7 linked regions of the Ovis aries genome follow. The protein of the gene in region 1 purifies or fractionates together with the protein of each later gene. This does not show direct contact. Links are inferred from orthologs where the notes say so. Each region holds a gene or a part of one and is shown in the gene's direction. Other genes may lie near its edges.

What was found.
Region 2: the proteins of EZH2 (region 1) and SMARCA4 purify together in Homo sapiens (affinity purification with mass spectrometry; 4 studies listed by BioGRID, with this or other methods). This does not show direct contact. The link is inferred for Ovis aries from reciprocal best matches to the Homo sapiens genes EZH2 and SMARCA4.
Region 3: the proteins of EZH2 (region 1) and FAM120A purify together in Homo sapiens (affinity purification with mass spectrometry, with the first as the bait; 3 studies listed by BioGRID). This does not show direct contact. The link is inferred for Ovis aries from reciprocal best matches to the Homo sapiens genes EZH2 and FAM120A.
Region 4: the proteins of EZH2 (region 1) and NUMA1 purify together in Homo sapiens (affinity purification with mass spectrometry; 3 studies listed by BioGRID and IntAct, with this or other methods). This does not show direct contact. The link is inferred for Ovis aries from reciprocal best matches to the Homo sapiens genes EZH2 and NUMA1.
Region 5: the proteins of EZH2 (region 1) and SIRT1 purify together in Homo sapiens (affinity purification with western blotting; 3 studies listed by BioGRID and IntAct, with this or other methods). This does not show direct contact. The link is inferred for Ovis aries from reciprocal best matches to the Homo sapiens genes EZH2 and SIRT1.
Region 6: the proteins of EZH2 (region 1) and CHD4 purify together in Homo sapiens (affinity purification with mass spectrometry; 5 studies listed by BioGRID, with this or other methods). This does not show direct contact. The link is inferred for Ovis aries from reciprocal best matches to the Homo sapiens genes EZH2 and CHD4.
Region 7: the proteins of EZH2 (region 1) and SMARCA5 purify together in Homo sapiens (affinity purification with mass spectrometry, with the first as the bait; 3 studies listed by BioGRID). This does not show direct contact. The link is inferred for Ovis aries from reciprocal best matches to the Homo sapiens genes EZH2 and SMARCA5.

Annotation. Positions count from the first base shown.
Region 1 is NC_056057.1:113,168,873-113,172,372, reverse strand, and holds part of EZH2 (histone-lysine N-methyltransferase EZH2), read left to right. Parts: intron 1-1,851; coding exon 1,852-1,943; intron 1,944-3,320; coding exon 3,321-3,500. UniProt on the Homo sapiens protein: Polycomb group (PcG) protein. Catalytic subunit of the PRC2/EED-EZH2 complex, which methylates 'Lys-9' (H3K9me) and 'Lys-27' (H3K27me) of histone H3, leading to transcriptional repression of the affected target gene.
Region 2 is NC_056058.1:13,255,570-13,259,638, forward strand, and holds the start of SMARCA4 (transcription activator BRG1), read left to right. Parts: upstream 1-1,269; 5' UTR 1,270-1,558; exon of another isoform or gene 1,559-1,630; intron 1,631-1,700; exon of another isoform or gene 1,701-1,755; intron 1,756-4,069. UniProt on the Homo sapiens protein: ATPase involved in transcriptional activation and repression of select genes by chromatin remodeling (alteration of DNA-nucleosome topology).
Region 3 is NC_056055.1:28,019,594-28,023,093, reverse strand, and holds part of FAM120A (constitutive coactivator of PPAR-gamma-like protein 1), read left to right. Parts: intron 1-1,609; coding exon 1,610-1,793; intron 1,794-2,377; coding exon 2,378-2,515; intron 2,516-3,500. UniProt on the Homo sapiens protein: Component of the oxidative stress-induced survival signaling. May regulate the activation of SRC family protein kinases. May act as a scaffolding protein enabling SRC family protein kinases to phosphorylate and activate PI3-kinase.
Region 4 is NC_056068.1:50,370,775-50,374,839, reverse strand, and holds the end of NUMA1 (nuclear mitotic apparatus protein 1), read left to right. Parts: intron 1-496; coding exon 497-725; intron 726-1,311; coding exon 1,312-1,448; intron 1,449-1,797; coding exon 1,798-1,974; intron 1,975-2,126; coding exon 2,127-2,240; intron 2,241-2,344; coding exon 2,345-2,539; coding exon of another isoform or gene 2,540-2,551; exon of another isoform or gene 2,552-2,566; intron 2,567-2,855; coding exon 2,856-2,867; 3' UTR 2,868-3,565; downstream 3,566-4,065. UniProt on the Homo sapiens protein: Microtubule (MT)-binding protein that plays a role in the formation and maintenance of the spindle poles and the alignement and the segregation of chromosomes during mitotic cell division.
Region 5 is NC_056078.1:23,655,092-23,658,591, forward strand, and holds part of SIRT1 (NAD-dependent protein deacetylase sirtuin-1), read left to right. Parts: intron 1-643; coding exon 644-1,207; intron 1,208-3,500. UniProt on the Homo sapiens protein: NAD-dependent protein deacetylase that links transcriptional regulation directly to intracellular energetics and participates in the coordination of several separated cellular functions such as cell cycle, response to DNA damage, metabolism, apoptosis and autophagy.
Region 6 is NC_056056.1:209,654,748-209,658,247, forward strand, and holds part of CHD4 (chromodomain-helicase-DNA-binding protein 4), read left to right. Parts: intron 1-1,523; coding exon 1,524-1,645; intron 1,646-1,841; coding exon 1,842-2,057; intron 2,058-2,245; coding exon 2,246-2,364; intron 2,365-2,483; coding exon 2,484-2,725; intron 2,726-3,500. UniProt on the Homo sapiens protein: ATP-dependent chromatin-remodeling factor that binds and distorts nucleosomal DNA. Acts as a component of the histone deacetylase NuRD complex which participates in the remodeling of chromatin.
Region 7 is NC_056070.1:14,460,760-14,464,911, reverse strand, and holds the start of SMARCA5 (SWI/SNF-related matrix-associated actin-dependent regulator of chromatin subfamily A member 5), read left to right. Parts: upstream 1-1,352; 5' UTR 1,353-1,572; coding exon 1,573-1,749; intron 1,750-4,152. UniProt on the Homo sapiens protein: ATPase that possesses intrinsic ATP-dependent nucleosome-remodeling activity.

The DNA of each region.
Region 1 (3,500 bases):
TTTGGTAAAAATCCTGTAGCAAAGTTAAAAAACAAAACATTTAGAAATAGTTAAATGTATCATTTGGCTCTCCCTACTCCAAGATTTTAAAGGGTGTCTCACCTTTTTCCTTAGTACGTTTTAAACATTTTTTTTTAAACATTTCTCCCTTTGATCCATTTGGCGTTTGCTCTGTCAGGACTTTAGCTCCAGCTCACCCTCGCATCTCCAGGGCTGCTGTTTCCCCACCATTGTCCGCAGGCCCCTCTGGGGCTGCCCGGAGCTGCACTTGGTCCTGGTCAGCACAGAGGCTGGGCTCTGCTTCTGATCCCAGGGTCCTGTTCCTTGAGGCTGTCTGTCTGGGGGCTCCTGGCCATCTCAAGGTCTCCTGGCCATTTTCGTTTTTCTATGTAAATTTTAGAATCAGTTTGTCTAAATTAAAAAGAGTCTAGGTATGTTTATTGGAATCGCATTAAATTTATATTACCTAAGGTAAAACTCACATTTTAAAGAAAGGGTTCTATCTAACTGTCCGATAACTCTCCTTTTGTTCTTTAATTTCCTTTCAGATTCTCTTCCCGTAGCTCAAGTAAAATGACTGTTGCTGTAACTTTTTGTTGTCTAGTTGCCAAGTCGTGTCCAGCTCTTTTGCAACTCCATCTACTGTCACTTAGTCCTGACTTAGTGACACCTTCTCTCTCGAGACCAGAGTGTGTGTACATGAGGGTGTACAGACCCACATATGTCTTCTTCCATGAACTGCGGCAAAATATCAGTCTCTAAACCTACCATGTACTGGAGGAGGCATCCAGGCTCAAAGCCCGCATGTGCCTTTGGCTCATGATGACCTTGTGTCTGGCCTGAAGTAACTCCTTCCCCTTATGTGGCCTCTACCTTCCATGTGCTCAGCCTTTATGTTGACATTTTAGGGGCCCTCACCCGCGCCAGTCCAGGGTGAAATCAGTCATATGGTGTCAGTCTTGTTCTGGGACCTGGGACCGGAGCCTTGAATTTCCAGTTTAAAAGCATAACTTTGTTCGTCCTTTCTCTTCTCTCCTCATCAGCCTGTCATTTCCCGTTTAAGTTCTATGGCTAGAAGGATGGCTTTTTACATATATGTTTTGGAGTGATTTATTTCATGAATCCGTCGCTTGTTTTCATCCATATAACTTCTCATCGTGTGTGATTCTGGGTGGGGCGTTTCTGGTGTTTGCCTGTGTGCTCTGGAAGCCAGCACCCCAGGCTGTCCCGCCCAGCTGCTGTGCTTCCATCCTTGGTTAGGGCACCAGTGTGCTGGAGTGTGAGTCTCTCTGGTACGTTATTTGGGCGTCTTAAGTTTCAAACACTATATCTTGCCAAAGCCGTTTTATCTGACTACTATTTTTCCCTGCAGAAGTGCTGACTGCAGGCTCCCCCTGGGTTCTTGAATTGTGTGTGATTCGTAGAAACTGACTTGTAGAATTCCGAGGCTGTCCTCACTGTCTTTGAACCCAGGTTTTTAACAAGCGGTGTCCCAGTCTGTTCCCCCATTTGACAAGCTAGGGGCTGACTTCTTTAGAAATCAATAAGTTGTAGATGTCAGGATTCTTCTGGTGAAAAGAGGAAACTGATTTCTGTGTAGAGGATACATCAGTTGTTTCTATGGAGACATTAAAGACTCAAGTAAATGTTTATGATCAGAGCTCAGGTGTTCTGGGGGAGAGCTGAGGGGATACATGGTGAGTGTGCAGTGAGCCTGAAGGAAGCTCCAGAAGGTGAGCCACATGTTAGCAGGAGTGTGATGATGGGTCCTTGACTTTTTCCTTTGGAACAGGAGGAATGAGAAAGTAACTAGTTTACTTTATGTTTGGATGTTTTCTGTTTATTTTGCAGCTTTTCATGCAACACCCAACACTTACAAGCGGAAGAACACAGAGACGGCCCTCGACAATAAGCCTTGTGGCCCCCACTGTTACCAGCACTTGGTAAGCACATGCGGGGGGTTCTGGAGGGAGTGGAGAAGTCTGAATTTTGAATTTTCGTGAGATCTGTGAAGTCAGCGGTAAGCTGCTGTTCCCGTACTGTTACTGGCCACACGATAGGCAGAGGTTTTTCTCAGCCACGTTTCTTGGGAGCTCGTACCTGCTGCACACCCTAGTCCTTTGTTACCTTGCGCTATTCTCTACCAGCGTTAGTCTCTTCAGCAGTGGATGCAGGTCTTTAGGATCCGAGACTCTCGTGCCTTCCGCCAACCTTAGAGCTTGGGAAGCACAGAGAGCCCGCCCAAACCCCAGCAGCACAGAAGTGTCCGAGCCTTGCTCAGAGCCATCGCCCTTCTGTGCAGACCTGCTGTAGTTTAGCGCATTATATGTAGCTCCCAGAGATGAGGGGTGTGTGTGGTGTGTTTTTTTTTTTTTTTTTTTTTGTAATGATGGAGAGAAGGTAAGGGTGTAGGAAAATATGAGGTAGAAAAGTTGCTTTTTATGGGTACTATCTTATTTTTACCATTTCCCCTCTTTGAACCAAGCCACTCCTACCTAGGAACTAAGTGGGTATATATTGCCTGTTGGATTTTGGACAGAAGATTCATTGAATGGCACCTACAGAAGGTATCCTATTTTTAAGCAATTTGGTTTTTGTAGAATGAAGTATAAAACTGTTGGCTGCTCTCAAACTTCTCCCTTCTATTGCCACTAAAAATGGAATTCTTGAGCACTGTTGTATAATATTCTTTACAAGGCAGCATTTTATTTGGCTCACCTAAAGTGTGTCTGTGGTCTCTATAATCCGTGCTCTTACCGTTGTTGTATACTTTCCGAGATGGGGTTATTGCGCCTGGCAGCGCAGACTGTGACCCTCACTGCCTGTCCCTCAAGGGCCTTTCATGTCTTCCTGGGGCTGTGCATCCCTCACAGGGGAAAGGGGGCAGAAAAGGGACGGATGGAGCACGTGTATGTCTTGTATTCTTCTTGTATACTTCCAATGCTACCATAGATGAACGAGTGTTAGCTTACGAAGTCCCGAGACAGGAAAGGCTGACTTTAGATGCACACTGGGTGTATGGCTCCTCTTAAAGTTCACTTTTAAATAGACTGTGTTTCCTAAAATATATTCTGTATTTTAACTCCTAATCTCAGTTAATACAGAACTGTCTTGCCTGAGTTTGTAGAAGCCATATTTATCTTTCTCAAATCTTCAAACCATGGAAAGCAGATAGGAAGATGATTGTCTTTAGATGTGACTGCCTGTGAAAAGCAGATACTGATAAGTCTGACTAACATGCTTACCCAATCCTTTCCTTCCTCCTCTGCCAGAATGAGCTGTAGAACTTGACTTTGATGTCTCCGCTCTTGCTGTTGTAGGAGGGAGCGAAGGAGTTCGCTGCGGCCCTCACCGCCGAGCGGATCAAGACCCCCCCGAAGCGCCCCGGGGGCCGCCGGAGAGGCCGGCTTCCCAACAACAGCAGCAGGCCCAGCACCCCCACCATCAATGTGCTGGAGTCGAAGGACACGGACAGTGACCGGGAGGCGGGGGCTGAGACT
Region 2 (4,069 bases), on another chromosome or scaffold:
CCCCCAGGTACTAAGGAGAGTCAGGTTTTCAACGCAGGTCTTTTTGGCTTCAGGCCAAGATATTAGCTGCTGCTTTATGCTCTAAGGGCCTCACCTTGGGCTTGGAAAGGCCCAAAGTGCTGGTGATACACACTCCATAGAAGCTAATATATTTTCAATTAAAAAAGAATATTTTTAAGGTGTCTAGTGTGTTGCAGAGGGTGGCCCCACACTAGATATTGGGTATTCTTCACTAGGGACTAAAATTGACAACACTGCGCCACTTAAATTGAGGTTAGGGAGACAGATACTAAAGGGGTTACCCAAGAAATGTGAAAGAAAAGGAGGTGGTGATCAAAGAGGGGGCAAGGCCAGGGGAGGTGATGAGTCAGCTGAGACCTGAAAAATGAGGGGGAAGGCCTGAGAGAAGCAGGGGTAGGGAGTCACAGGCTCCAGGACTTGGCCCTGGGAACCGTTTGTCCAGTTGTGGGGCTAGAAACAACGAATACAGACTCAAGAGATACTCTCAAAATTTAAGAGATGAAGCCTCCTAGTCTCTGGGCCTTCACACTTGGAACAAAGCTCTCTCTCTCTCACTGCTTTTATGTCTTGACTCAAATGTCTTCGCAGAGAGGCTTTCCCTAGCTGCCCCATTTAAAACTTCCCCGACCCTTCACGTGTCCATTTCAACACAGTGTATTTTACTTAAGTTTTCTTGCCTCGCGCCTGCCTCTCCCACTAAACCATGAGCGCCACAGAGGCTGAGATTTCTCTTCGGTACTACAGTACCTCAGTGTGGGGCAGGTCAATAGATTATCTGCTAAACTAATAGCCCTAGGTAAGTTGTGCGGAAAAGATAGCCACGGTCTTTGCGTAACAGGCTTTGCCGAACGGGCACCGCCATCATCCGAACATCGACCTGCACTTGGCCCAGGGGCCGGCTCTGCTCATCCCCGGCCCCAGCCTGTCCGCCTCCTGCCTTCATGCACGACCTTGGAAGCCTCACTTCTGAGTCTCAGGGGCCCTCGGCCACGCTTTCCCCGCAGACCTCTCCACCACCCACCCCATCCCCCAACCTCCCGCTGCCACCTCCACCTCCACCACCGCCGCAGTGCCGCCTGCTCTGCGCATGCTCGGCGGCTTTGAGACGCGCGGCGTGCGGGAACGGAGACCACCGCGCGCAGGCGCATGACCGTCCCACACAGAGTCGGGAGGCGCGTCGGGCGCTCTAGCTCTCTCTGGCCCCACCCACCTCTCCCAGACAACCCCGGCGAGACGCGCACGCGCCCTAGGAGCGGAAGGGCGGGCGGGCACGCGCACGAGGACGGGCCAGCAGCGGAAGCGAGTGGGAGTTCGTGGTGGGGGGAGGGGAGGTGGCGAGTGCGCGCGCAGCGGGGGCGCGGGCAGCGTGGGGGGGCGGCTGAGGCAGGCGGGCGCGCGCGCGAGGCTTACCCTCGCTCGGCGGCTGCGGCGGCTGCTTCTTTGTTTCGTGAGGAGAAGCGAGAAGCCCATTCTGCCCCCGGCCCCGCGTGGAGGGGCGGGGGCGGCGCCGGGAAGGCGACGGCGCCGGCGACTCCCGGTAAGGAACGTGGGTCGCGGGGGGAGCGCGGCGCGGGGCTTGGGAGGACGGTTTGAATGGAGCCGGGGCGCCGAGGGGGGAGGGGGCCGCCGGCGCCCGGAGCCGGGCCGGGGTACGGCGGCGCCCGAGGGTCAAGAAGCCTGACCGGCACCGCGCGCGCGGGGAAGGCCACAGGCAGCGAGGCCTCGGCGACTACAGTATCCGCGGGACGGCGGGGTGGGGGCCAGGGCCGCGTGGAGGCCGCGCGCCCCCCGCGCGCGCTCTCGCCGGGGTCGCTGGACAAAGCGCGTTGCCCCGTCGGCGGTCCAGGGGCCCACATCCCGGTGTCCGCCGGGGCTGCAACAATAGCCAGACGTCCGGGCTTTTCTGGTTACGTTCTAACGGGTCCGACTCGAATGTTGCCTTTTGGCGAGCCTGCAGTCGGAGCTCAGTAGGAAAAACCCCAGGTGTGTCCAGCGTCGCCCGGACACGAACATTAGCAGCCCCCCTGGGTTAGCCGACCTGAATGGTTATTTTTTTAAAAGTCACGTCGTTTTAGATTTTCAAGGAAAGGTAAATAACTCTGCTAACCCCTTGCAAGTAGTGACTTGAGAACGTTTGCCCTGAAGCCGGGGGTCGGCAGCAGTGGGGAAGGACGGAGAGAACTGTTTGCCGTTAAAAGCATTGTTTTAGTTTTGCGTCCTTACCCCTTTCTGCCAATCGATTTTCCAGATTAAGGTTTTTATTTAAAACGCGAATCTTTCAGGAGAAGGTATTTTGTGAAGGTCTTGAAGACACTAGTCTTGATATTTTCCCCCCCTAGTGAATCATTGGGGAAAGTAGGGAATAAGCAGTGAGAGCCACTTCCTAAGAATTTGAAACAAGTTTTCACTTTTAAATGACAGGCCTGATTCAAGTTTGACTCCTGGCTGTTGCTGGTCACTTCGCTGTGTGACAGGAGGCAAATAGCTTAATCTTTTGGAACTTCTCAGTGTCCTCATATGTGAAATGAGAATAATGGCACAGATGGAGCCGGTGAAAGCCTGTAAAATGGTTCCTGTCAAGAGGGAAGCACTATCGTTGTTGTTCAGTCCAGTCTCTTCCATTCTTGTTCAACACATACTTGTTGAGCCCCAGCTGGGTGTTTGGTAGTTGGAGGTTGGGTGCCCAGAGCAGCCTGTTCAGTCTTGTAGGGGAACAGGTGGTAAGTGTGGGAACAACTAGAGGCCTGTCATGTGTGAGGAGCACAGCAGATTGGTGCCAGTGGTGGGAACCAGAGATCAGGTAGCTGCATGGAAGAGGGGGCTTTTACTCAGGGTTAGGGAGGACCCCCAGGTTGTGTTGGACCACTTGGGACCAGTCATTGCTCCCCTCTGCTGCTTTTGCACATGGTCATCTTGATCCTTTCTTGTGTTAGGAGTTACTCCTGTTTGTAATTACACATCTCTTCTCCAAGGGCCATCAGAGCTGTCTGTGTAATCTCTTTTAGTGTACCCTGGCCCAGTGTGTAGTAGGCCCTTAGGGAACATTTGTGGATGAAGGAGGAGGGTACTCTTGAGGATTGAGTAGCCCTGTGTGTGAAGTGCTTGGCCCAGGACTTGAGGGCGAGTTGCAGACAATAAATATTAGTTGCTGGCGCTGTGTTTTGCTTTCTTTTTTAATTTTTTTCTAAAGCTTTCCAGGCCATTTTCCCCAAACCTCATTCCCTCAACAGTAAGGGTGTGGGGTAGTAGTTAATAGGAGGTGGTGTTATGGAGTGCTAGTTCTGGAATTAGACCTCCTGGATTCACAGTCAGCTCTAAATTCTAGTTTGACCTCAAGCAGGACACTTACCAGTAGGTCCCCCAACTTGAGAAACAGATAAGACAGTGGTGCCAGCTCAAAGAATTGTTGTGAGGGTTGGAAAGATAGTATGGGAAGTGGTTTAACACTCTCTAGAGTCTGGCATGTAATGAGCTCTCAATTTTTCGGAGGTGGTTTTGTTCATACGTATGTATTTGTAAATTAACTGTTCAGAAAACTGAAAACATGAGTCATTCTGTATCCCAGAAACCCCAGGTTTGATGTGCTGGTTATATACATTTTCCTAATTTTCTTTAAACTCAATACATATACGATTATGAAAATAATAAGTGTTCCTCCTCATGCCACTTGAAATCATTTGTGCCCAACCCTTCAGGGGGCTTCCCAGGTGGCGCAGTGGTAAAGAATCCCCCTGCCAATGCAAGAGACCTAGGAGACATGGATTCGGGACCTGGAGGAGGGCTTGGCAGCCCACTCCAGTGTTCTTGCTTGGAGAATCCCATTGACAGAGGAGCCTGGTGGGCTATAGTCCATGGGGTCACAGAGTCGGACGTGATTGAGCGCACACGCCAGCCCTTCAGGAGATGTTGATTTTGCAGGTGTTTTTTGGGGGGGTGTTCATCGTGGGGTGACCTCATCATAGCTTTGGTGCAGGGCAGTGCAGTGGTTCCAGACTTCCTGTCAGTGAAAAGCACTCCAACATAAACACGTATTTATTTTTTTAAAACA
Region 3 (3,500 bases), on another chromosome or scaffold:
TCAGCTTCAACAAAGCTCATTTAACTAACACACGCATTTTCTCTGTACGGCACATCACAGCCTGGCACTTGGAAGCACTAGCCAATACTCAGCACTGTGCTATTCTAACAGCAAAATCATTCACAAAAACACAGAAATTGTGGCACTAAGGAGACAGTGACTGGACACATGTTTACAGTATAAAAACTGAAGCATGAAGACAGTGCTGTGCTTTCTTTAACCTTAGGTGGCAACTCAAGCTCTGTTCCACTCAGCGAATGTCTTCAGATGACTATGAAAATGCTAGGAGTATTGATTTTGAGTTTATGAATAAATTTTAGCAAGTGGCTGAGTTTAGAGATGTGGAACTCATGAATAGTCAGGATTGACTGTACTTTTTAAAGTTCTAATTTAAAAATAAAGTGAATTAGGTCATGAGGTTATCTTGTCCCTTTGTATATAAAAGAAGCTCACATATGCTGCAAGCTTTTTGCTTTTTAACCTTAGACTACAAAACATGTATTCTTCCACATGCTGCTTAAGTTAAGGTCAGTTTAAAGACAAATTTACAGAGTAAGCAGGATTTCAGGTTCTCTGATTAAAGATTGGTTCCTGGTATAGCGACTTAGCACATACATATTTATGTATTTATTAACAAAAGACACTCAGTGTTTTTTCACAGTATGATGTGACATACACAAGTTGTATTGTTCACATTTGTGCAGGCTACCTCACTGGTAGCCCCATGGACAGGTCAATTGGTCTATTGTCCTTTCTCTATTAAAGAGCTCCAGGCATTCCTTAAGAAGCATCTACTACTCTTTGCCTCAGTTCTTTTTCTGTAAAGTGAATGTTTGACCTAAAATTAAATTGATTAGGAAAGTAAAATTTAAAGATGTGAACTAGGCATCATCTACTCCCTGGTGCATGAGTGGAAGGAAGGCTGTGAGCATGACTTGTCTGGACTTAGTCATTGATTTTGAGAAACAAATTTGTTTTCAGTTAATAAATTTTATAGTAAGTGGTTCTCATCTAAAGATATACTGAGTAGGTAGAAATTTAAATTCTTGTTTTATAAGATTGTGAGATAAAGTATCTTTTTTTTCTTTCTTTTGGCTTTTTTTTTGCTTTTGTGATCATGTTTGCATTCTGTGGCCTTCCCTGCTGGCTCAGTGGTAAAGAATCTGCCTGACAATGCAGGAGACATAGGAGATACAGGTTCGGTCTCTGGGTCAGGAAGATCCTCTGGAGAAGGAAATGGCAAGCCACTCCAGTTACTCTTGCCTGGAAAATCCCATGCACAGAGAAGCCTGGTGGGCCATAGTCCATGGGGTCGCAGAGTCAGACAGGACTTACGACTATACTACAACAACAGCAGCAACATTTCATTCTGTAAAAAAGTATCACTGAGCAGATTGTGGCTGTGTTATTTATGGGTAAATAAGCACGGACAGAGGAGCCTGGCAGGCTACCGTCCATGAGGTCACAAAGAGTAGGACATGACTAAGCGGTTAACACACATGTAGGCAAAGCATAGTGGTCAGCATGTCTTATTTCTTTCCTGTTCATTCCAATTCAATTGAATTGAATTTGTGAATGAAGTTTTCACATGCCAGTCCTTGACTTCCAGGCCGAGCAAGCTGCCAAGGTAGAAAAGATGCGACAAAGCATCCTGGAAGGGCTGAACTTCTCCCGGCAGAGCCACCCACTCCCCTTCCCACCGCCAGCGGCGCTGCCTTTCTACCCCACCTCTGTGTACCCACGGCACTTCGGGCCCGTCCCCCCGGCCCAGGGCCGAGGGCGGGGCTTTGCAGGTGAGTGTGTCCACCACTGTAGGTACAGACTTGCTAGTGTGGGGAGACAGACACACACATAACATGCAGGCCTTCTCAGTGAGCTGTATCCTGCTATGTTGAGACCTTGTAAATAATTCTCAGCCTTAGTTACGAAGTTTGCAGCAACAGCTCTTCACATTAGAAAGGAACTTGATCCTGGAAGAGATTACGTTATGGGAAAGGGAGTGGGAGCTATAGAAGCTATTGCAGAGATATGATATTTAAATTGGTCAGTGTAGCCAAAAACTCTGCTGACATTTGTGGTTTTAGATTTTCTCATGTTGTGGGGTCAGCGGGGCTGTCCTCCATTAAGGCTGCCTCCCAAGCCTGTGGCAGAGCCCATAGCAATAGTGTTTGGTCTCCAGAGTCTCCTCCAAGAGCAGGCAAGGTGACATTTCTGTGTTGCTGGTGAGCAGAAGGGTCAGGAGGCTCTTCCCTGGCAGCTGATGGTGTAAGAACAACTGAAGGATATGGGGGTCTCTCTGCCTGAAAGCCCACTGGTGGCTTTCCCTGAACCCAGTTCCTCATGGCTTCTCCCATCTCTCTCCACCCGGGTCCCACAGGAGTCTGTGGCTTTGGAAGCCCCTATGGGGAAACTGTAGCGACAGGCGCTTACCGTGCCTTCCGAGTGGCGACAGCAACAGGACACTGTGGAGCCTTCTCAGGCAGTGACAGCAGCAGGACTAGCAAGTCACAGGGCGGTAATTATGCCACAACTCCTCCTGGAGCTTTTTTCCACCAGCAGCTTCCCGCTCCTTCTGGCTCTTCTTCCTCCTTGTCTGTCCTGACTCCAGCACCAAGTCCTTTCTGATAGGCCCCCCACTCTGGTATTTGCTGCTGCTCATCTGCCAGCCTCTGCCTTCCCCCAGGTCTCTGCGGCAGCTTTGCTCTGACCCATCTCTGTCTTCCAGCGGGACCACTGTGTCCACACACAGCCCTTCTGTGCACCTGCCTCCTAATCATTGCCTCCTATGATAGACAGGTTGCCCATTCATTCCTGGGGACGTTTTTTTTGCCTTCGTGTTCTCTAACAGCCCTCTCTAGGTAAAGAGGATCATGCTTGTGTAGAAGAATCTAAGGGCATTGTACAGTTCTTGGCATAAAAGAGTTTTTCATAGTTTGTTTCAGAGAAATATTAGTAAAGGAAAGTCTAATAGTCTGGTTTAAATTTCCATTGCTTCTCTTCTTATTCATATTAGGCTTGTGAGGGTGAGAAAAAGTCTTAACCCTGAGTTTTGAAATATTATCTTGTGATTTTGCTGTACTTTGAAGCCCATGACTTGTAACTTTGTCATAAATGCCTCATTTTGGGACTGCATATCTAAACCTGACTGTCAAGTCTGTGTTATAGGATTACTCAAATACAGTTTTGAAGAACTTTTAGGATAGGCAAGCCTTTCTTGATCAGAAATATTTTTCCAGTTGAGTTACTTGGGTTCTTACAGAAGCTACTAGAGACATCTTTTGTAATAGTAATACTCTTCTGGCTGAACGCTGCCCTCTCTCTGTAGCTGTGGAAGCCACTTTTCTTCTGCTGGACTTGCATGCCTGCTCTTGCCTCCCCTTAGTTTTCCTGGCTTTCCAGGGTGCTTTCCTCATGTTACTGTGCATCACACAGTGCACAGTAATGTGTGTTCTCTGCTTTACAATCAGCTTCAGCTTTTTGCAACCCTTGCCTGGAAACTC
Region 4 (4,065 bases), on another chromosome or scaffold:
TGTGGGACAAGCCTGATGCTCTCAGGAGAAGCAGGGTCCAGCTCCAGCTCTGTCCCCTGCTGTGACCCTCAGGCCAGTCCTTTGACGCCCGTGTACCTCACTTCTAAGACAGCCTGAGACTTTTGGCCCACCCTCCCTCAGAGCGTTGTGAACAGACTCAACGGAACAATGGACGGGAGTCCTGACACCCTCAGCACCTTGTGTGGGATTAACAAGGCCCATTTCTTGCAGATGGGCAGCTGAGGACCCTATGCAAAGCAGTGTGGACACGGGCAGCCATGGGATCTGAGGCGCTCTGGGAAAGGAAATGGGAGGCTTTTTCAAAAAAATGTTGATATGCTTGGTGGGGGGTCTTAGTTGCAGCATGTGGGATCTAGTTCCCTGACCAGGGATCACACACCCCTGCATTGGGTTCAGTCTCAGCTGGTGGGCCGCCAGGGATGTCCCAGGATGTCAGGGCCCAGCCCCGCTGCAGCAGGTGCATCCTCTCTTCCAGAAGCTGGACGTGGAGGATCCAGACAGTGCCAACGCCTCCTTCTACAGCACACAGTCAGCTCCAGCTTCCCAGGCAGGCCCGAGAGCTGCCTCCTCCACCCAGTCTCTAGCCCGCCTGGGCTCTCCCGACGACGGCAACTCCACTCTGCTCAGCCTGCCTGGCTACCGGCCCACCACTCGCAGCTCTGCTCGCCGTTCCCAGGCCGGGATGTCCAGTGGGGCCCCTCCAGGTGAGGGGACTGTGGGGGCCTGACACCCAAACATAAAACTGGAGACAGATCCTGACACAGCCAAAGCACAAGCCGTGATCTAGCACCTCACCCCTCTCCTCCCTACCTGTTGTTCACCCAGGGCCTGTGCTAGGCAGTAAGGCTGATGTCATTCTCAGCCAAAGGCTTCATGAGGGGCGGGTGATTCCCTGCACAAGAGTGCTCCAGGCCCCTTCTCAGGTGGGGAGGGGCTGCCAGGGGTGCCAGACTGCCAGGGGTCTATCCTCAGATTCCTTTCTGAGGCTCTTGCCTTCAGGGAGCGCTCTGGGTATGGATTCCTGGCCCTCCAATAGTTTCTTTTGGTGTCACAACCTCGGCATGGGACCCCAGGGAGGAGGCAGGGAGCCAGTCCCCAGGGAAGAGATGGTTGTGAGCCTCGTGCCTGTAGCTGCAGCATGGAGCAGAGCAGGACCCTGGGGTGCTGGAGCCTGGAGTTCAAGGGCTAGGAGGACAGGAGTGGTGGCACCAAGGCCGGTGGGGTGCTGCCTCCACCCTCTCGTGCTGGCCTTGCAGCCCTGCTTGTTGCTGTCTCCCTGCCCCCGCACAGGCAGGAACAGCTTCTATGTGGGCACCTGCCAGGACGAGCCTGAACAGCTGGATGACTGGAACCGCATTGCAGAGCTGCAGCAGCGCAACCGAGTATGCCCACCGCACCTGAAGACCTGCTACCCCTTGGAGTCCAGGGTGAGCTCTCGGGTTCCCTGCCAGGGACCCACCCCTGCCGACTTCCCTCTTTCTCCTGGACCTCCCTCCCCAGTTTCCCAGCCTGCCAAGGAGGGGGACCTGCTTCTGGTCAACTATCAGGCAGGGAGGAACTCAGGAGGAGGTTCTGTGGAGGGCTGGAGTTTGCAGAGGTCTCTTGGGATGGCTCCTGTGGCTCTGGTGCAGGGTGTAGGCAGGAAGACAACAGCGGGGGAGCCGTTTGCAATAGGAAGGCTCCAGATGCCTGGCCAGTGAGGAGTTCTAGGGCGGTCCTGCTCCATCTCCAAACAGCTCAGTCAGGTCCACCGACCACTTCTTCTACCCCACACAGCCTTCCCTGAGCCTGCCTGCCATCACAGATGAGGAGATAAAAACTGGCGACCCCCGGGAGACCCTGCGCCGAGCCAGCATGCAGCCAACCCAGATAGCTGAGGGCGCCGGCATCACCACACGGCAGCAGCGCAAGCGGGTTTCCTCAGAGACCCACCAGGGTCCCGGCACACCTGAGGTGGGTGGCTTGGACTTTGGTCTTCTCTAGCGGCCGCCACGTCTGCGAGTCTATTAGCGGGGAGTCTCCTGGTGCAGGAGGGAGACAGGTGCTGGCTGGACATGGTCCATTTGTCTCTCGTGTTCTGGACCTAACTGTCCTCTTCCCCATAGTCAAAGAAGGCCACCACATGTTTCCCGCGCCCCATGACCCCCCGGGACCGACATGAAGGGCGCAGACACAGCACTACCGAGGCCCAGAAGAAGGCCGTTCCAGCTGTTAAACAGGTTAGCCGGGGGTTGAAGGGAGAACCTGGAGGGGCCCAGCCAGCTGAGCCCTAGAGCAACTGTGTGGCCAGTGGTGCCCCCGGTCTGACAGCCCTTTCCAACAGGCTGACCGCCGCCAGTCGATGGCCTTCAGCATCCTCAACACGCCCAAGAAGCTTGGGAACAGCCTTCTGCGGAAGGCAGCCTCAAAGAAAGCCCCCTCCAAAGCCTCACCCAATCCCCGCAGCGGGACCCGCCGCTCTCCGCGCATCGCCACCACCACAGCCAGCGCCACCGCCACCCCCCGGGCAAAGGGCAAGGTGCGGCACTGACGGGAGGGTTCGGCTCCTAGAAACCCAGTAAGGAGCATGGGTGACCCCCACCCAGCCACCCCAGGGCTCTGATTAGGCCCCTGGAGGGCGAGGGCTGAGAGCAGGTGCTCCTCTCCCCTCTGGTTAGCTGCTCCTCCTCGAGGAAAGCAGACGATAAAACACCCAGAGCTGCTCAGGTGAAACCAGCCCCTGCAAGCCTGCGGTAGATGGGTCCAGGGCTGCAGCAAGGAGACCACCCTAGTCCAGGCATGTGGGAGCGGGAGTGGGTGCAGGCTGGCGCTGAGCAGCTGTCTCTCTCTCCCAGGCGAAGCACTGAAGAGCCAGTGCCAGTGAGCGGCCCCGCCGTGTTCCCGATGCTGCCCTCGCCTGGCCCTTCTCCTTCTGTCCCTTTCAGTGCCTTCTCTCAGCTCCCAGGCCAACAGTGGCCCAAATCCTCGAGACAGTGATGCCTGCCCACACCCTGGCCGGGACCCGGACCATCCCCAGGTGAACAGCTGTGTCCTCCAGAGTGGCCCAGAGCCTGGGCAGTCTGGGTCCTCTCCCTGCCTTGCCTCCTGATGTTTTCCTAGAGTAAAGTCACTTCTCCATCGTAACCAGATTTGAGGCTGGCTTTGTGTGGCTGGGTCCTTGGGCCTAGCCAGTCCTCCCAGCCTCTGGATCTAGAAGGGACCATTGGAGGAGCAGGCCCTGGCCCCTGCTGCTCCTGGCCGCTGGGCCTCGCAAGGGCCCTTGCTCTTGAAGTCCAGGACTGGGCACTGACCTAGTGGGAGCACCCCACCCCCAGGTGCATCCATCCACCCAAGGACCCAGTTGCCCAAAGGATGCTCTTTTCCAGGAGAAGGGCCCTGCACCTTGGAGGGTGGGGGGCAGCCCTCAGTGGCAGCTCCCATTGCCCACCCTCCCCAGATTTGCGCTGGGGTGGGATTTGGAGTGATGGGAAGGTTTTTAAGGGCCAGAGATGGATCTTTTCTAAATGTTATTACTTGTAAATAAAGTCTATTTTTCTCCCTTGAATGCCAAGATGCCTTGGTCTGTGTTGGGGAAGCAGGGAGACTCCAGACCACCTACCTTCTCTCAAACCCCTCCTCCCAGCCTCTCTGGGGCCACAAGATCTTCCACTGTTTCTGGCCTCTGCTCCTGAGGAGCGTTAGCGAAGTTGCTTCAGTCGTGTCCGACTCTGTGCGACCCCATAGACGGCAGCCCACCAGGCTCCCTGGGATTCTCTAGGCAAGAACACTGGTTGCCATTTCCTTCTCCAATGCATGAAAGTGAGAAGTGAAAGTGAAGTCACTCAGTCGTGTCTGACTTAGCGACCCCCATGGACTGTAGCCCACCAGGCTCCCCCATCCATGGGATGTTCCAGGCAAGAGTACTGGAGTGGGGCGCCATTGCGGGCCGGCATCCTGTGATGCGAGGGCCTGTGTCCCTGAACCTGGCTTTGTCTTCGGCTTCAGAATGGCATCCTCTCTCACTCCATACTCGCTCCTCACACTAGCCGCACTCTGTGCTGGAAC
Region 5 (3,500 bases), on another chromosome or scaffold:
GAAACTATTCAAGAAGATTATAGGATAATTTGTAACTAAAAAGAAAATGTCTAAGCTTAGTTTTTTTCTGTTTAAACATAGAGCAGAGAACTTCTGACAAGCTTTCTGTGGGGTAGTATAACATGTTGGTGATATTAGGCAAAAGTGGAGAGTAGACTGGTATATACTTTATATCAGAAGCCATTTAAGTAGAGAAAACTCTCACCTACTAAGAGCCAAGAACTTTGCATATTAAGTCACTTACTCCTCACTGCAATCTTGTGGAGCAGTAGTCACCCTATTATACAGACAGGGATACAGGGAAACTGAACACAGAATGTAGACGTTTGAGGCAAGAGGTAATCAAGTGCTAGAAGAAATTTTGATGCTCATCTATTGACTTAATAGTGTGATGGTATATAATAGCTCGATTAGAGTGGCGTCTTCTTTTGGTATTGGGAAGCATTAGGTTTCTTCTGGCTTGCAGGGACTTGTTTCCCTGACCAAGGATAGGACCCTGGCCATGGCAGTGAAAGCAGAGGGTCCTAACCACGGAACTGGCCAGGAAGTTCCGTTACGAGTTTACATACTGTGTTTGTTTTGGTTTTATAAGTGCACCTCCCTTCTTTTCTCTTAATTCTTATTTTTTTCACCCTAATCTTAGGTTCCATACCCCATGAAGTGCCTCAGATATTGATTAATAGGGAACCTTTGCCTCATCTGCATTTTGATGTAGAGCTTCTTGGAGACTGTGACGTAATTATTAATGAACTGTGTCATAGGTTAGGTGGCGAATATGCCAAACTTTGCTGTAACCCTGTGAAGCTTTCAGAAATTACTGAAAAACCTCCTCGAATACAAAAAGAGTTGGCACATTTGTCAGAATTGCCACCCACACCCCTCAATATTTCAGAAGGCTCAAGTTCACCAGAAAGAACTTCACCACCAGATTCTTCAGTGATTGTCGCTCTTTTAGACCAAGAAACAAAGAGTAATGTCGATGATGCTGATGTGTCTGAATCAAAAGACCATGGCACAGAAAAGGCACAGCAGGTGCAGACTTCTGCTAGAAGCATTGGGAGTGCTGACGAACAGTTGGAGAGTCCAGATTTGCAGAATGCTGTCTCCGATTCTGGGGAGAAAAATGAAAGAACTTCAGTTGCTGAAACAGTGAGAAAATGCTGGCCAGCTAGACTTGCAAAGGAGCAGATTAGTAAACGCCTTGATGGTAAGAAAGGCTGTTGGGCCATTTTGAGGGTATAACTATTATTTTTTTTGTAAATTTATGTAATTGGAGGCTAATTACTGTCCAGTATTGTAGTGTTTTTTGCCATACATTCACATGAATCAGCTGTGGATGTTCATGTGTTCCGTATCCTGAACCCCCCTCCCACCTCCCTCCCCATCCCATCCCTCAGGGTTGTCCCAGTGCACCAGCCCTGAGCACCCTGCCTCGTGCACTGAACCTGGGCTGGCGATCTGTTTCACATATGGTAATATACATGCTTCAGTGCTGTTCTCTCACATCATCCAACCCTCGCTTTCTCCCACCGAGTCCAAAAGTCTGTTCTTTACAGGAATCTCTTTTGTGGTCTCGCATATAGGGTCATTGTTCCCATCTTTCTAAATTCCATACATATGCATTATATTGTATTGGTGTTTTTCTGACTTACTTCACTCTGTACAATACGCTTCAGTTTCAAAGGAATATTTGCAGGAAGTGAGCAATTTTGGCAAGCTAGTTAGTGTTAACTTCATGCAGGTAAATTTTAATAGTTGATTGTGTTTAGAGAAACTAAATTTGAGATTTTAAGCTAGAAAAAGATAAACAGTATCTTCAATAATACGGGGAAGAAATGGTGTCTTAACTGTGCCCTGTACCTTGAGTTTCTCTAGGGAGTGAGAAGTTAAGCATTTAGCTGGGACTACTGAGTGCTCCCCTGTTCTCTGCTAAGAGTTTTAGATGGTGAAAATGACAAGATTTGGGTGCTTACGGAGGGGCAGTGACTTGACATATTTTCTGTTTCAGTATCTGATTTCAGTTAGGGACGAGACTATTCCTTCTCAGGTACAGGTGGGAAAACAAGGACCACAGAGATTAAATGTCCTGTCCAAGGAAACAACTGGAGTGAAGAAGAGCCAGGTAGATTCCAGGTTCTGTTAACCTGTTGCTGTTTCAGATCTAGGAAACATCTGGTTCTTCTCCACTGACTATCAGAAATAGCATCTGCTCTGTTTTGACTCATGAAAAGTCCTTACCAATTTGTATTAATATGGATGAAATCACTTTCTACCTTTTAAGACCATTGTGCACAAGTATTAACCTATGGTGAAAAACCTTAAGACAGAAAATTGTGCTCTTAGATGCAGCAATCTTGTCCTGCTTAAAACACTCTTCACTCACCATACATTGTGAAAACTGGCAAGAAATTTCAGACAAATGTATTGTGTGTTCTAATCATTTGCCATAAATAAATTTTAGTTCAGTTGAATAAGCCTTTGGGTATTTCCAAACTAGGACTGCAGCAAGTTCGGGAAACACCCATCCAAGCAACTGATATTTGTGTATAATTACAAAAATGGGTGAATGGGGGAAAAAAAAAGGTGAGAATTTTAAAAGGTAGATGATACTTAGTGGGCACTAGGTTATAGAAGGCTTAACTGTAAGTTGGTGAAGTCTTCCACGGGGAAAACCAGAAAAAGCATAGAATACTTACGCTTATCAATGTGGCAAAAGTCAGAAGTAGAAAAATTGCTGTTGATTTAGTCAGGTAAGTCTCTGTTGTATACAGTCTGCTCGTGTGTTCGTCCTTTGTGTCTTGACTGGTTTTTTGACCCCATGGACTATAGCCTGCCAGGCCCCTCTGCCCATTGTATTCTCCAGGCAGGAATACTGGAGTGAGTTGCCATTTCCTTCTCCAAAGTCTGCTTCGGCACTCACAATATTCTTTGGCTCTTTGACAGATGGGTCAAATGTATAAAACTCTGCCCCAGAAAATTGGTATACCTTGGTTTTATTCTGCTAATTTAGACCTTTAAAGATACAGGCTTCAGAATTTGACTGCATTGTCATATCTACCTCTCATAGCATTGTGAGCATTTGAAAAGATAACTGATGAATGTAAAACTTAACACTTTTAACTGCTTAAACCAAACAACTGATGTTTACTCATTTTCGTTTGCGACCATTTGTAGTGAGGTCAGGGCTGAAAAGGAGGAAGTTGGAACATATAAGAAGTAAAATGTGAATATCGTAAAGGTAAGATTGCCAGTAGGACAGAAACAGGTACAGGGTACTTGAACTGAGAAATAGATTGTTCAGTTCTTCAGGGGGCCAGGGCAGAATGAACTGTTTTTTAATAAACCTGTAAAAGGGCAGGACAGCCATGTGCTGGGACCCCTTAGAAGACTGGCTCCTAGGATGTGATTTAGAGGAGATGGTCCTGTTAAAAATCACAAGATGTGGTGGTCTGCCAGCAGCTAGAATGCAGGTACTCAACTCCCTTCTCCAATCACTGACA
Region 6 (3,500 bases), on another chromosome or scaffold:
GCGTTTTCGGGCCAGTTCTGGGGGCCAGGAGCTAAGAACCTGTGTCGGAGACTGTTGTCCACTATTCTAGGTGCTGCTCCCTTTTTTCTTAGCCGGTTGGATAGATGGCGGCCTGTAACCTTGTTAGAGGTGCTTTAGGATCTGTGGCCTGCACTCTGGGTAGAGGTGATGAGGAAGCTGAGTTTCAGAGACTTGCTGTGGGCTTCCATCCCGCAAGGAAGGCCAACCTTTTGGGTGTCAGAAGGTTGTGTACTCTGACACAGTACCGCCAAACTTTTGTTAAACCTTAGCTCTGATGATTGAAATCCTAATGATTGAGGGAGTAACTCAGGCCCTCATGTGGGGTCACCCTTCAGGGTGTCTTGGGTATCCTTGTCTAGGACATTAGAATGGCGTCTTGCGAACTGTGTCATCCCAGGGTAGTGTTAGGAGAGGTGGCGTTTGGACGTGGGGCCAGGTGATCATTTGGGAAATCTATGAGAGAGTAGTCTTTTCCCCTCCGGCTACCTCTCTCCACCCAACCCCCCTCCCCTGCTACTTCCTGTCTGTCCTCTGTTGGCAGCTGGGTGCCCTGGGCTGGCTTCTGTGGTCAGGAGCCATTTTCCCTCTCTTCAGTGGATGAGGCATTCCCTCCTCCTCCACTCCCTTCTCCACTCCCCCCTCCTTGGGCGGGGGTGGCTTGGGAAGGAGGGAGGAGGGAGCTGGTGCGCTGGTATGAAGGTCTGTTACAAAGGAAGCTGCCTCCTGGCCTTCTCCCCCACCCTTGGTGCCCCTTCCCACCTATGCCTGCCCTGGAGCTCTCAGCATTACCCCAGGCTTTGTGTGTGCTCCTAGCCGGCAGGAGGCGGAGCCAGATGGGAGGAGGAAGGGGGGGGAGATGGTGACAGCTGGGCTGATTTGGGCCCCTGGGGAGAAGAGGCTACTGACCCAGGAGAAGCTAGGAAGGAACAGTAGAGCTGGAGATGGGGAAGGGAAGTCCGATTTGGGGGTGGGCACGATACTAGGCTGGCAGCTGAACCTGGGGCTTAGAGTTTCTGGTGGTTTTGAGCAGTGATGAGCCAGAGGGGGTTAGTGAAGGATGTGGTTTCCGGGACCACTGAGCAGGTACTGTTCTGGGAATGTGCTGAGGGTGTTGTCTTTGGTTGTTGTTTTCTGGGTAGGATTTTTCATTCTCATTCATGGTTTCTGGAACATAGGAGGGCTGGACCTGTTTCTTTCCCTTGGTTAACTGTATGCAGCTTGATTCGGCTGTCCTGGTGAACGTATAGAGGACTTCTGCTCAGGGTCTGGGGAGCTGCCTGAGGTGGGCCCACTTTGGCCCTGCAGGCCTGTTTCAAGGATCTCCAGCTCTCTGTCTGTTTCTGTCCCGAGTATCAGCTTCCACTGGTGGCGTGTGTAGCAGCTCTCTCCAGTGGAATCTGGGACAAGAGGTGGGGGAATCAAGACTAAAGCCTCTGGATTAGGCGCTAACCTTTTGCTATTGATCTCTTCCCTGCATACCATTCTTTGCTAAATAAATGTAGAAAACGAAGAGGACCCAGAAGAGGACTTGTCAGAAGCAGAGACTCCAAAGCTCAAGAAGAAGAAAAAGCCTAAGAAACCTCGAGACCCTAAAATCCCTAAGAGCAAGCGCCAAAAAAAGGAGGTGAGTGGGTGACTGATGCCATGGGGAGTAGGAGGAAGGCAGGAGGAGCCCTGAGAAGGGCTGGAGGGCTGCGGCCTTCGCTCGCTGGCCCTGGAGTGGGTTGCCAGGTCCCAGGCATCGCCTCGGCGCTGTCCTGAGGCCAGCATGTGTGTAGCATGTGTGTGTCTGTCTCCCTCTCCCCCCTTCCCTGCTCCAGCGTTTGCTCTTATGCCGGCAGCTGGGGGACAGCTCTGGGGAGGGGCCCGAGTTTGTGGAGGAGGAGGAAGAGGTGGCCCTGCGCTCAGACAGCGAAGGCAGCGACTACACCCCTGGTAAGAAGAAGAAGAAGAAGCTGGGCCCTAAGAAGGAGAAGAAGAGTAAATCCAAGCGGAAAGAGGAGGAGGAGGAGGACGAGGACGACGACGACTCGAAGGTGCCTGCGTTTCCACCTTCTTCTCTGTTCTTTGCTTCCCAGACACTCTGCTGCCCCTGAGATTGAGTTCTCTCCTCCTGTTTCTAATGATTTGCTCTTACCCTCAACTTGCCAGCCTTAGTTGTGGCTCACATCCTCTGGTGAGTGTGGGCACTCGGAGTCAAGCCTTGACCCTGCTCTCTCTACAGGAGCCTAAGTCATCCGCTCAGCTCTTGGAAGACTGGGGCATGGAAGACATTGACCATGTGTTCTCTGAGGAGGATTATCGCACCCTCACCAACTACAAGGCCTTCAGCCAGTTTGTTCGGTAAACAGGAGGGTCTTGGGGATGGCATGGAGTGCACTTCCATTATCTCTTGTTGCTTCCATCGCCATCTTTTATTTTTAAACTTTTCCTCTTTTCTGTTCCTGCTGTTTCTCCCCCAGACCCCTCATTGCTGCCAAAAACCCCAAGATTGCCGTCTCCAAGATGATGATGGTTTTGGGTGCGAAGTGGCGGGAGTTCAGCACCAACAACCCCTTCAAAGGCAGTTCTGGGGCTTCTGTGGCAGCGGCTGCAGCGGCGGCAGTGGCTGTGGTTGAGAGCATGGTGACGGCCACTGAAGTGGCACCGCCTCCACCCCCTGTGGAGGTGCCTATCCGCAAGGCCAAGACCAAAGAGGGCAAAGGTGAAAATGGGACCCAGTGGAAGTGGGGGCTAGTGTGGTTGGCAGACGTGTGGATGTGCTGTTCTGTCAGCCCAAAGATAGAAGCCAGGAGGGAGGAATGAATCTTGGGTTAGGAGGGAAATTTGGGAAGCTCAGTGTAGAAATGTTTTAGGTGGGGCGTATTTTGTTGGCTTGGCCAAAAAGTTCCTTCGATTGTTTTCCATATGATGGCTCTAGTCTCGTTTAGTTGTCCTTTTTTTTTTTCATTTGAAACAGTTTTATTAGGTCGTATTGTGATGGTTGTCATATCAGTGTGCATTTAAAAAAAAAACTACCAAAATTGGATTTTTGTGTAGTCATTTTAGTATTGAAGACAAAAGAAGAAAGGCAACATTTTGGCATATTACGCTTTATTATTTCAAGAAACATGAAAAAGCAACTGAAATGCAAAAAAAGATTTGTGCAGTATGGGGAGAAGGTGGTGTGACTGATCGAATGTGTCAAAAGTCATATGCAAAGGTTTGGGCTGGAGGTTTCTCGCTGGACTATGCTCCATGGTTGGGTAGACCAATTGAAGTTGATAGTGATCAAATCAAGACATTAATTGAGAACAGTCAACACAGTAATGTGAAACAGAAGAGATCGTGAGGCAAGTGAAATGAACCACCACCAACTACATCAAAGACTGGTCTCCATCCTAACAAAGGTGATGTTGTGTTTGTGGTGGGATTGGAAAGGAGTCCTTTATTAGCTCCATCAGGGTAAGGCAAGATTGCATGTTTCTTTGATGACAAGG
Region 7 (4,152 bases), on another chromosome or scaffold:
TGTATTTTTCTGTTCATATATCCTTAGATGGTTCCTTATAGTCTCACAAACAGTATTTCTAATGGGCTGGGGGGCATTTTTCCAGATCTCAACTTAAAAATTATCATTTGATCAGTTAAAAGTTTGCAGGCTACAGATTCAAAGGAGAGCTCTTCTATTTGAAATTCAACATAATCAACAGTTTGCTCAAATCTTAACTCTTGAAAAGTGTGTCTCCGCTATTCAATACATACTGATAGAATACTGGATATGGGGATACAAAGATGGATAAGAGCCTGTGCAGGGCAGATAACAATTCACAGCAGTACGATTTTCTATTGAGTAGAACACGATGTTCTTGATAACCTGCAGCAGATCCGTGCGCAAGACCCACAGGCTATGTTGAGGACAGTGGAAGGCGTAACCACTGGAAATTATTCGAAGTATTTCTTAAGGAGAAAGAAATGCACAGCAGTCTGTACATTTTAATATTTAGTGGTTGAGCAAAAGATACAGCCCATGGCCTCTCTTATCTACCGATTATCTATGACTCTTATCTATGACTCTCATTCACATGGTGATGGGCAGTTTGCTTATGTTTAGCACGTAAATTCAGAGAAAATATCGTTTAACTCTGTAAGAGAAGTAGAAGGAATTTAGAAATGATTCTTATAGCTAACGTGTAGACAAAAAAATATTACACCAACGGGCCCTTTTGTTTAGACAACAAAACCTAAGAGACGTCAACTGGGATAACTAAACCATCTTCAACACATTGGCGTCACACCTATGAGCGGCGGCAGCGAAAGTGTTAAGGCCTGCACAGGCCTCTATACTGCAGTAGGCGGCGCAAAACCTGGGCAAGTTTTCTGGGAGTGCCGCAGATCCCTGCCAAGCAGAGCAGACCAGGCGCCGGTGGACCCTGAGCCGTTAAGAACGCCTGGAAGACAGCGCTCGCGTCATGCCGGGAAGCCGACGGACAAACCTACGTCTCCAATCTCTCCCTCGAGGCCCCGCCCATTCCTTACCCAAGAGCTCTCTGGGGCCTCGAAGGAGGCGTGGCCCAGGGCAAAGAGGGGAGAATGCGCATGCGCACTCGGAGCCCAGTCATGTAGCCAACTATCAATCTCGCGAGTGTTGATAGTCGGTGGCGTAGGTAGTAGAACTGAGTGCTGGCGAGATAGATGATATCTACCAGAGGAAGAAGAGGAGGCAGCTAAGCCAGTTCCCAGTCTCTGTCCCTCCTTTGCTTTCCTTTCTTTTTCCCTCAACCCTCCGCCCTCCTGTGAATCAGCCCGCCTTCCCTGACCTCAGTGACCCGAGTGGCCCCGCCCACTCTCGTCGACGTGATTCCCGCCGTGGGGTAAAGCGCCGGTCGAACCCGGAGCCCCGCGGAAGAGGAGGGCGACCAGAGGGGGAGGTTGCTGGGCCTGGTTTGGGCTCGTCGCCGAGCCGCGGCGCAGGGGGCTTTCGGGTAGTCCTCTCGCTTCTCCATCTGCTCGTTGCGACGCAGCCACCCAGGCCTAGGCCTCCTCCTCCTCCTCCCTGCCGGACCCGGCCTCTGGCAGCAGCGGGTGACGCAGACGGAACATCATGTCGTCCGCGGCCGACCCTCCGCCACCCCCGCCTCCCGAGAGCGCGCCTTCCAAGCCCGCAGCCTCGGCCGCCGGCAGCGGGAGCAACAGCAGCAACAAAGGCGGCCCCGAGGGCGTCGCAGCCCAGGCGGCTCCCTCCGTGGCCAGCGCCGGCCCCGCGGACTCGGAGATGGAGGTGAGGGCGGCTCGTGGTGTGGAAAGAGGGCAGGATGGGGAGGAGGAACTGGTTCCCTCGCCTCTGTACTAGTGATGAGACGCAGAGCCAAACTTCACCCCTTCGCACTCCAACACGGCCTCAGACCGTTTGGGTCGGAAATGATGCTCTCACCCTTGCGCGTAAGCAATCCAGGCAACCTCAAGTGGATTTCTGGCACTTCACGTTTATATTATTTGTCTCTTTGGCGAACCTTGCCAAATCCTCGAACGCTCTTATTAGACACATGTTCTTGATTACTGAGGCCGAGTGAAGATCTACCCTTTTTTTTTTTTTTTTTAAGCTGGACTCCCATAATTCCCTCGCTCATCTCTGAATCTCGATTTTACTTTCCGCTAAACTTGGGGAGAGGGCGAGGGAAATTTCCCTCTAGGTACGGGGGTAGACAGGCGGGGTGGGGAAGGCATTTAAAAGCAGCGCATCCGAGGGCTTGGGCCTCCTTTTCTTCATCCCGTTCTTTGCGGGGGCGGTATCTGTTTCGCAGAAACAATGGCGAGGGCTGGATGGCCGAGGGCGCAGTGGGGATAAGCGGGGCACAGCTGCTCCCTCGGAGGGAGAGGAGGCTCCTCCCAGGCACTGTTCCGTGGGGAAGGGAAGCGACCACGGCGGCAGCAGCTGTCTTGAACCCCCATTTCATTTTGTGGGGGGAGTGATGGATGGATGGATGAATGAATTAGTGAGTGAGGGGCGGTTAGTTTGCTTACAGACCAGCGCATTTCCTCTTTGGGGGCCTTGGCCTTATTTTGAAAATTGGTACCGTTCTCTATGGCTCCCTACCTTCTGGGCTGGGGCTGGTGGGTCAGGGAATGGTAACAGTACTGCGAGGGTGGAGAGATTGGGGAACTGCCAGGCGGGTCTTTTGGGTGTGCTCCAAGGTTTTGCGATGTCTGGGAACAAAGTGTTGCTTGCTCCTTCCAATTTTATTCTTGGCCTTCGATCTGTTTTGAGATATTTTATAGTCGCAACCCAGAGATTTCTGGAATTTTTCCATCCTTGGATAGATTGAGCAAAGGTAATACTGCTCTGAAAGGGAATGTTGCTGCAGAATTAACACGATAAGGAAATGGCAGGGCAGTTTACCATAGAGCATTTGGCTCAGTAGTTTTATTTGGGTGCTGTACTAGGTCATAAGTCAGTTCAGTGGAGTCCTACTCTGTGTAACTAGCGGCCTTATCTAGGGTGAGGTAACGTGTTATTAGTTTTTGAAAGAACTTTAAAGGTAAGGGTGGGTTTTGGTGGAATAGGACCTCTGGTATTCTATAGCTTTCAGCGACTTGAAATTTGTTTTCAGTTCATGTCAGTGTTGCTTGTTTTCTTTTTCTTTAGGTTTTAAATGATTGTTTTGAATTGCTAGGGTTAACTTGGATTCCCGCTTCCTTGTTTAAGGGGCTTTGAAAGTTTGACACTGAAAGCAGTTGTGTTAAATACGCAGTTCTCAGGGCTTCCCAGGTGGCGCTAGCGGTAAAGAACCCGCCTGCCAGTGCAAGAGACAAAAGAGACGCGGGTTCGATCCCTGGGTTGGGAAGATCCCCTGGAGGGGAGGCATGGCAACCCACTCCAGTGTTCTTGCCTGAAGAATCCCATGGACGGAAGAGCCTGGCGCGCTACAAAGAGCCTGGCGAGGTGGCAGAGTCAGACAAAGCTGAAGCGACTGAGCACGAACCGCGCTTCTTTGCAAATTGCTGTCCACTGTTGTCAGCCTCTCAAAAGAGGCTATCATTCGAATTTTGGAGTAGCAGCCAAAGTCTCAGTCTCACTAGAAGTGTTAAGGAAATATCAGAAAGCGGAATAATTTAAAGCCTAAACTAAATGTTTTGCCTTTCAGTTGCTGTTTTTAAGGTGAAGTGGAATTAGAGTTTAACTATGAACAGTAATGTTGTAACAAGTACCAGCTGACTGTCAGTAGTATTTTTGCCAGATGGGGAAATTGAGTCTTCTTGTAAGTAGAATCTGTGATAGAACCCACATCTGGCTCTGAAGCTGACCCTTCCCCGAATATCTTTCCCTGTCATATTTTTACCAAAAATGTGTTGTTTAACAATTTCATTTATTGAAAAATGGCTTCATTATTTTTCCTTTTCTCAGGATAGTAACATCAGTGATTTTATCTTTTACCAGTCTTTTCACTGACTAGTTTTTGTTTTTTTCCTTCATATTATAGTATGGTTTTTTGTTTGTTTGTTTTTAAGCTGCATTTTTCCAAAATCATTTATTTTCTGACAAAGCCCACTTTCCTAGGAACATTAGTTAGCTTTCCTATGTATTAGGTTATTTCTTTTTTTTTTTTGCTTGGTATTGGTAGGTCATGGGAGCAGTCACATTTTTTAATTAGTATGATCTTTTTGGCAACCTGAATGGGGCCTG